Danio rerio: one gene and its partner. The protein of the gene in region 1 interacts with the protein of each later gene in a pairwise test. Links are inferred from orthologs where the notes say so. Each region holds a gene or a part of one and is shown on either strand. Other genes may lie near its edges.

What was found. The genes of interacting proteins can lie anywhere in the genome.
Region 2: the proteins of banp (region 1) and sp2 interact in binary tests that used the Homo sapiens proteins (3 or more experiments, as listed by UniProt). The two-hybrid records come from large-scale screens. The link is inferred for Danio rerio from reciprocal best matches to the Homo sapiens genes BANP and SP2.

The regions. Positions count from the first base shown.
Region 1 is NC_133200.1:32,852,788-32,857,171, forward strand, and holds the start of banp (protein BANP), read left to right. Parts: upstream 1-1,507; 5' UTR 1,508-1,801; intron 1,802-4,384. UniProt on the Homo sapiens protein: Controls V(D)J recombination during T-cell development by repressing T-cell receptor (TCR) beta enhancer function. Binds to scaffold/matrix attachment region beta (S/MARbeta), an ATC-rich DNA sequence located upstream of the TCR beta enhancer.
Region 2 is NC_133186.1:12,478,218-12,482,345, forward strand, and holds the start of sp2 (transcription factor Sp2), read right to left. Parts: upstream 2,830-4,128; 5' UTR 2,792-2,829; coding exon of another isoform or gene 2,785-2,791; 5' UTR 1,776-2,784; intron 1,514-1,775; coding exon of another isoform or gene 1,500-1,513; coding exon 1,437-1,499; intron 1-1,436. UniProt on the Homo sapiens protein: Binds to GC box promoters elements and selectively activates mRNA synthesis from genes that contain functional recognition sites.

The DNA of each region.
Region 1 (4,384 bases):
ATTTTAATTAGTGTGTTTTATCTCCACAGAACACACACACACACACGCACACACACACACACACACACACACACACTAATAGCCACATCCTATAGAGATAAACTTTATTGACTAACCTAAAATATATATTTTTACATATTTTATAGTTTTATAACCTACAGTTTAAGTGATGTAAGACATATTTGATGCATACTTCAACGTCTTTGAATACAAGCTCTTAATAGACAAATTAATTCGTGAAATGCACATAGTGCTGGACAAGTTATTAATATGCAAATTTAGGTCGAATGTTTACATGATAATACTCGAATACGCGTTCAAATGTAGAAAACCTTTAGATTTTAGCATCAGTAAACTCAATTTGGTTTAGTCGTCCTGAAAGCTGCAGTTCTGAACCAATGACTGTAAAAAAATATGGACGACGCGACAGCCCTTTTTCCCATTGAACGCCTTGAGGGCAAAACGCCTGCTTGACGGGCACAAACTGTCGCAAAAGACTGCTGAAATTGGAGCCAGACATGCGCAGAAGGACTGTCTGATGGAGCCAGAGGAGGAGCCGCGAAAATGAGCAGAGTCGAGCTTCCAATCAAACGCTTTATGTAAAATCAACTACGCCCCCCGAACTTCTCAGCATGCGTTTGCTGTCATATCAACACAAATGGATGTAATAACGTTAACAAATATGAGGGTTTTATATATTCAATCGCGCCAGCTCCAGGCCGCAGCGCACAACTTACTCGCGGCGTCGCGGGCTGATTCCGGCTCGCATGCGGCAGCGCCTGCTCGCTCGGCCGCCGCATCTGGCTCGATTGACTCGGACTGGAATCGGGCAGTGAATCCAGGCATCCGGAGTAGGTCCAGCAGAGGTAACATTAGTCAGTCTGAGCTCTAAGAGAGAAGTCTCCGGCAGGCGAGAATCTAGCCGGAACTGTGTTTTGCTATCTGGGTGGCTAGGCGTGTATCAGCAAACTAATAAAGCCCGAAAAAAGCCCTGAACTTAGCGAATAAACAGTGTTCCACCAGGATCATGTATGTCAGAAACTATAGTTTACTGCTGAACTCATTTTGTCATGGTAAAATAACACAGAAATCGAATAATAACATTTCAGTCTACTTCAGTCTCCTGCCGAAGCTCAGACGCCGCGCTTTGAGAAACTGTAAATCACAGCTGTCAATCACGATGACACGCCCAGCATTAAATTACTGCTAATAACAAACTGTTTACAAAAATGAAGATCTGCACCTATTTCAGCACAATAACCAGTGCCTTAATCGACCAGAACTATCTTTCGGGACATTTTATTGCAAGTGTAATATTTTTTTTTATTTGGGCTCAAGTCTCCTTCATTAACACGGAGGAGGCGGGCTTTATGACTTGTACTGCAGCCAGCCCCCAGGGGGCGATCTAACGGCCGAAACCTTCACTCAAACGTAGGCTTGCGGCACACTTGTTCTGAACACTGCCGCCTCCCGTGCGCATGCGCAGTCAGGGCGGCGAACGGCACTCAATGCTCCGGCTTTTCTCTCGCGAGGAAGGACGCCATTATCGGAATACTCACAAACAACACGAGAATTCATCATTCACACGGTAATATAAACCATTCTGACATGCGACACCTCCTGCTCTCCTCGCGCTTCAAAATATGGCGCTTTGCATTAAAGAAATGCGCATTATCTCGCTGTTTTCGACTCAATTGTGTCCTGCGTGCCATGAAGGGCACAAACGAGGCCTAGATGCATTTCACTCTTGTGTTTTTGAGCTGTTGGTTAGCAGGCGCGAGCTAACAGGCTACATGAGCAGGTTAGCTGTACTGTGCTAACTAGTGTAAACCACTGGGTTTATTAATGGCACTATTTAAGGAGCTACGACTTTTTAAAGAGAGTTTTGTGATGTTCGAAACAAAAAAAAGTGTTGTTTATTGTTCTAAAATGAAATGGTTAACTGGAGTTAAGCTAAATTTGGCTTGTAACCTAGTTATAATCTTAGCTGCTGCAGTATCATATTTGCAGGGAGAATATTTTTGTATTGTGCAATATTACGTATAAGTAAAGACGAGCTTTATGAGTTATATTAACGACATTTTTCACCACCACCAGTTTTTTTTTTTTACTGTTTTATAATATTATCTATTTCCTTTGTCTTTTGTAAATATTATGAAAATATAAAAATTGACTCATCATTTACTCGCCCTTCACGTGTGCGTTAGTATATAATAGTTAATATATATATATATATATATATATATATATATATATATATATATATATATATATATATATATATATATATATAAACCTTTTTTAAATGTTTTGTGTGAGCAAGTATTTTACAGTGCTTTAAAAATACTCAAAAATGTATTTGTCATGGTTTTCAAAGTATTATTTGATTTAACGTTACCAAAGTCACACAAGTGGGAATTTCACATCCATAACGACACTTTTTCCTCATAAATGCAAAAATACTGTCAATATTTTTTCTTCTATAGTAAGCCAGATCTTATCCTTTGATTAGCATTATTTCTTTTGACTTGTGCAGTTTAATTCACAGAATTTTTACAAAGTATACTGTAAACATACTTTTTTTGGTCACATCCATCACGCATGTTTATTTTCTTCTTTTAAAGTGTTCTCTGTACTTTAAATGAGGAAAATAAACATATTTTGTTTACAGACTGATATTATTCAGAGCCCAGTTGTTCAGAAAAATATATATGTTTCAATATAATGTTAAAATAAACTTTCTCTGAATTTATGTTTTGAGTTTTTACTGCAAATATCACATCCATAAAACTGTAATTTATCATATATATATATATATATATATATATATATATATATATATATATATATATATATATATATATATATATATATATAGACAAATGCTATGCATTATGATAACGCCATTATTTTTGTCACCACCACCATGAATGTGTTTTATAATGTTTTTTATTTTGTTTGTGTGGTCTGTAAATATCTGAAAAAAAAATGTTCCAAGACTTATTTTGTACATGGGTATATATAAATTATGTACCATGGTACATTTTATAAATAAATTGTGCTATTATTACTCTGATGCCACAAAGCAGAAATGTAAAATTGTTATGGATGAATAGTCAGTTTTAATTTTTAAAATCTGGACTTGTGAATTGAGGTTTAGTTTTATATTCGTCCATTTGTTCAGTGACAACATGTAATATGCACCCTATATTTTTTTACCGTGGTATTTTAAAATATGCCTTCTGAAATCAAATGTAAATATTAAAATATTAATATTAAAACATTAGCACTATTTATTTGACTGTGAACAATGTTGTTCTTTGATTTTCTAACTAACTTACTTTTAGAATCGGCATAGAATTCTTTTCAGTAATTATATATTATTAGTCTGTGTGAATATAAAACCAACTTTACTTCAGTAAATCGTGAATACACACACACACACACACACACACACACACACACACACACACAAGAAAACATGAAACCTTTAAAATGTCTAGGCTGCAAATTGGGCATTTAAACAACAGCATCTAAATAATTAGCATAATTAGTAATTAAAGCTCTAGAAATGTATTAATAGGAGTAGCATGTAAAAAGTTATTTAAAAATTAAAGCTATACAAATATATAAAACTTACTAATCTTTTGGAGCTACCCACCCAAATTCTTCTATAACATTGATATCAGCATTAAAATAAAATAATAATAATCAAGATATTATAATGAAAAATTTAATATTTAGTTGTGATTTAGAATGTAAAGTATACATACTGATCTCTGTTTTCTTCTTCTTATCTTTTTACCCTCTATGGCAGGGTGCCCAAACTTTTTCTTATGAAGGGCCAATAACTAAACTTGATTTGGGCCAGAGGTAAATATACTAAACTGTAAAGTTGTCAATATAATTTCTTAATTTATTATTATTATCATTATATAATTTAATTAATAATATAATTTATTATATTGAAATTACTCTAATTGTATTAATAATTATACAGTCTTTGTACATCTTATAATGAACATTTTACAATAAAAAACATGAACAATCCCATTTATAACACTAAAATATACATTTTACCTTAATTACTGATGTCGTCTGTGTTAAAAAAAAAAAAATCTGATTCATTCACAACATTTAAAGCAGGTTACCATGGGCCAACATTTGCCGTCAGGCCCTAGTTTGAGGGGTCTCTGCACTATGGCATATTTTTTTACAAGGACAAAAAGTACCCTAATTTGTGGGTCTCTTATTATAATATAAATCAATTCCAAAATGTGCTCCCCCCCCACCAGATTTTGGTTTGTTGCCTCAGGGCAACAACTTTAAATTAGGGTACTGAAACGCAAAGTCTTCCAGTATAATAATATATTTGAAATTAGGA
Region 2 (4,128 bases), on another chromosome or scaffold:
CAATATTTCATAAAGCACGAAAATAGAAATATCCTGAAGTACACATTACACTGGTACAGCTATGCAAGAGAAATTTGAGAGAGTTGTCAAATATACTGTTTATTAAGTTTCCTTCAGCTTAAGTCCTTTATTCATCGGGGGCCACAACCGTGTAATGAACCACCAACTATTCCAGCATATATTTTAGGCAGCGGAAGACCTTCCAGCTACAACTAGGAAACATCCATTCACATATACACACACACTATGGCCAATTTTGTTTACCTGATTCACTTATAGCACATGTCTTTAGATTGTGGTGCAAACCAGAGTTAAATATGCTGTTTGATTATACCAGGATATTAATACAACAGCAAATAACCAATTAGATTTTATTAATTTGTATAGTATTATTCTTCAGGAAAATGACAATTTTTGCTGTGCCCAAACAATCACTTCACTCTGTGACATTACAAACAGACATCTGTACATTGCAAACAGTTGTGATGATTACCATATTTAAAAACTGCTGAAACATTTTTTAGATCACAGAAAAGTAATTTTAGAAAACTATAACAATTTCCAACAAACACGGCATTGTTTCTGATAAATAACACACTGATTTCTGAGGTCATGAGATTCCAAATGTTGACAGGCACATTTTGTAACAATAGCTGGACATCTGTGTCTTTTTGATCAATAAAATACATTATTATTATTATTTATTTATTGTTCAAATAGCTTTTTATAGGTTTTGATTATAACCACTTTAAGGCTACCCTTCCCCATACATTTTTATTAAAAAAAAGAGAGTTAAAGTCAAAATTATCCTTTTTTTTTCCAAATATTTCCCAAATTATGTTTTACAGAGCTAGGGCTTTATCGCGGTATTTCCTATAATATTTCATCTTCTGGGAAAAAAGTCTTATTTATTTTATTTCGGCTAGAATAAAAGCTGTTTTAATTTTTTTAAACCATTTTAAGGTCAGCATTAGCCCCTTAAACAATATTTTTCTCATAGTCTACAGAACAAAGCATCATTTTGATTTGCCTAATTATCCTTGCCTTGTAACCTGATTAACCTTAATTAAGCCTTAAAATTACACTTGAAGCTGAATACTAATAATTAAAAAAATTAAATCAAAGAAATATTAGGCACTGTCATCATGGCAAAGACAAAAGAAATTAGTTATTAGAAATTATTAAATTAAAATTATTATTTTTAGAAATGTGTTCTTCTTACCGATAAACAAATTGGGGAAAAAAATAATTTATATATATATATATATATATATATATATATATATATATATATATATATCAGAATTTACCAGGAGAATATATTCTGTATATTTAAAATCATAATTTTGGCAGAAATATGAAATTTACTATTGTCCTCAAAAATAATTTAATATCAGTTCATCCTTAAAGCAAAATATAGAATCGTGGGATCTTACTTGAGAAGTGGTGGTGGAGGGCTGAAGATATTCACTGGGACTGACTGCGACAGTGGTGGCCATACTGTCCTTTTGATCTGTGAGAAGACAAAGGTAAATCTATTCATGCAATGAAAAGATCAAAACTCTCCAACTGTGAGAACAAAATAATCCAAGACATTTGAGATCATATTAATCTGTAGCTTGCACAATTTTTAAAGCACCACAACATTTCAATCAAAAGTGCGTGAACAGAACTGAAAAAAAAACAAATGCTCTGACTTTTTTGTTCAAAATAAAATAACCACTAACAGCATGCACTTTTTTTAGTTAGGACAAGTGTAGCTAAGGAGGCGTTACCTGAGATAATCTAAACCCCCGAGAGCAGTGATTCAGCGAGGCAGGGTTTAAAACTCAGTCCACTAATAGCACACAGTGGCACTTCACAGTGTAAAATATATTCAATCCTGGTCCTCAAGTGCTGGGCTATTCCAGAATTAGCACTGAGATGCACAGCTTTAGTATATACACATCTATGGTAAACATCCTGAACTGACCCCATATGTGGACAAATATCTCCGGTCACAACCAAAACAAACGCTTGCTGTTATGATGCTTTCTGACGGCTGTCAAAGCGAACAAAACAAACTCGACATGTTTATGTACTGGAAAGCGAACAAAAACTCAATGCGTGCATGTATTTCAATTACATCAATTTTATAGACAGTTTATAGGAAATATTTTGCAAGTTCGATACATTTAAAACTTGTTCTCATAACGTTTCATTCATTTCTGATTTATTTTCCTCAGTATGAAAATCCCGACGGTATCATTAACAGCCAACGTGTGTGTTTTTACACTACAATTTCAACAGCACTGAAGAAAAAAATGTTTTAATGACTATGTGGCTTGATAAAAGATGCAAGCTGCTAACGCTAACAAGCTAAAACGTCAGAAGCCTGCAAGTGGTTGAGCTATGCTAATTGAATGCTTTAAAATATCTCATCAGTTTGATTTTATATTTAGTTTTTAATCAGTCGATCACGTGTTTACGACTTTTTTACGAGCATGCAGACCGCTTTATAAGGGTTATCCTGACTGCGTGCAGACAGACTCAAGAGTGCGCTGATGGAGGAGGAAACTGCTGGCTTAGCATGCTAAAGTGCTAACTAGCCAGATAAACTCTTCGCTGCGGAAAAGAACAGTGATTCCGGAAGTGTGCATTTATTTGAATCGCAGTGCTACGTTTGATTAAAAAAACTCATGCGTGCGAGCTACGATATTTAACATATATCGGTCCGTTCGCTCGTGAAAATGTTTAAGAAAGTAACATTGTAATATAAACATCAACGTTATAATTCCTACCCACCGCTCATGACGACATTCACTCTCCGTGAAGCCTTGAAGAGCCCACAAAAGATACCGCCCCACCGGGGTCTACTGGCCAATCAGGTTACTTGTCAATCATCTAGAGCTAAAAGTGATAACCAATCAGAAAACAGCTTTTGCCTGATTGACATTTGTTCTGACTAATGAAAAGACGTCGTTTTTCTATGACAGTTGAAGGATATATGTTTGACCAATGGGTTGTCGAGTTTTTAGTAGAGAGGCGGGGGTTGTGAGGCTATCAAAATAATGAGGCGAACCAATGATACGCAGGTATGAATTTAACTGACTTTTCGTTTAGCCAGTCAGAAACGTAGAAAGGATATCAATCAAAAGTAATTGACAACAATCGCTATTAATCAACCTTCGCAAATTGTGTCGGTTTTGCCTTGCATTATGAACGCAGGTGGCCGGGCTACTGTGTCTTCTGAAAAGAGTTACAGAACCTAAAGGTGATGGACAAACACCAACATGTTTTAATTCTCCAAAATGAAATTGTTCTGTCTGTAAATGGAGACTTTTGTTTGTAATTGCAATATTAACTTTAGCCGGTACTAGTGTTTAGGCGTTCTTAACTCGTTTACTGTCTGTAACGTTAATGAGAATACAGTTGTGTGTGCTGCTGTCCCATGAAAATGTTTAGGATAACGTTAACCCCTCGGTAAATGTGTGATATTACCAATATATAGTGATTTGAGCAACAAGTTATAGTCATACGAAAAATTAATAAATAAACAAAAGACAATTCAAAAAGTCATGGAAACTATATTTACCTTCGATCGACCCACTAGCCTCAATCAAGTTTGGGTTTTGGCCGTTTGTAAGAAAAAGTTAGGGCACCGCTTGTTTTGGATAGCCCTTAGGTAAAGTAAAATGTGTGACATTACCGATATATAGTGATGCTAGCAACAAGAAATGCAGTTATATAAATTATTGGTGTTATTACAAAAGTATTACTAAAGAAACGCGTTATTTCAGATTCCTGGAATGATTGGATGTGTCCAACAAATAAAAGTATCCAAGTGACTAAAGAATGGGAAAAAAAAAAAAAACCAGCAATTCAAAAAGCAAGAAGTACTTTCTCTATTCATTTGCCAATAGAGATTTACAGAAACTGCTGTTATTTGGTTTGTTTGTAATCTATATCTCTTTTTGGCATAACATAACATTGGTGCCATCTTTTCAGACACTGTAATATTAATTTTTAGATACGAAAATGTATTTAATCCAGATGTTTTAAGAAATCGATATTTGGCAGAATGACCTCAATATTCAATCACAACAAACATTGAAAACATTTGTTATTCTTACTAATTGTATTTTCGGG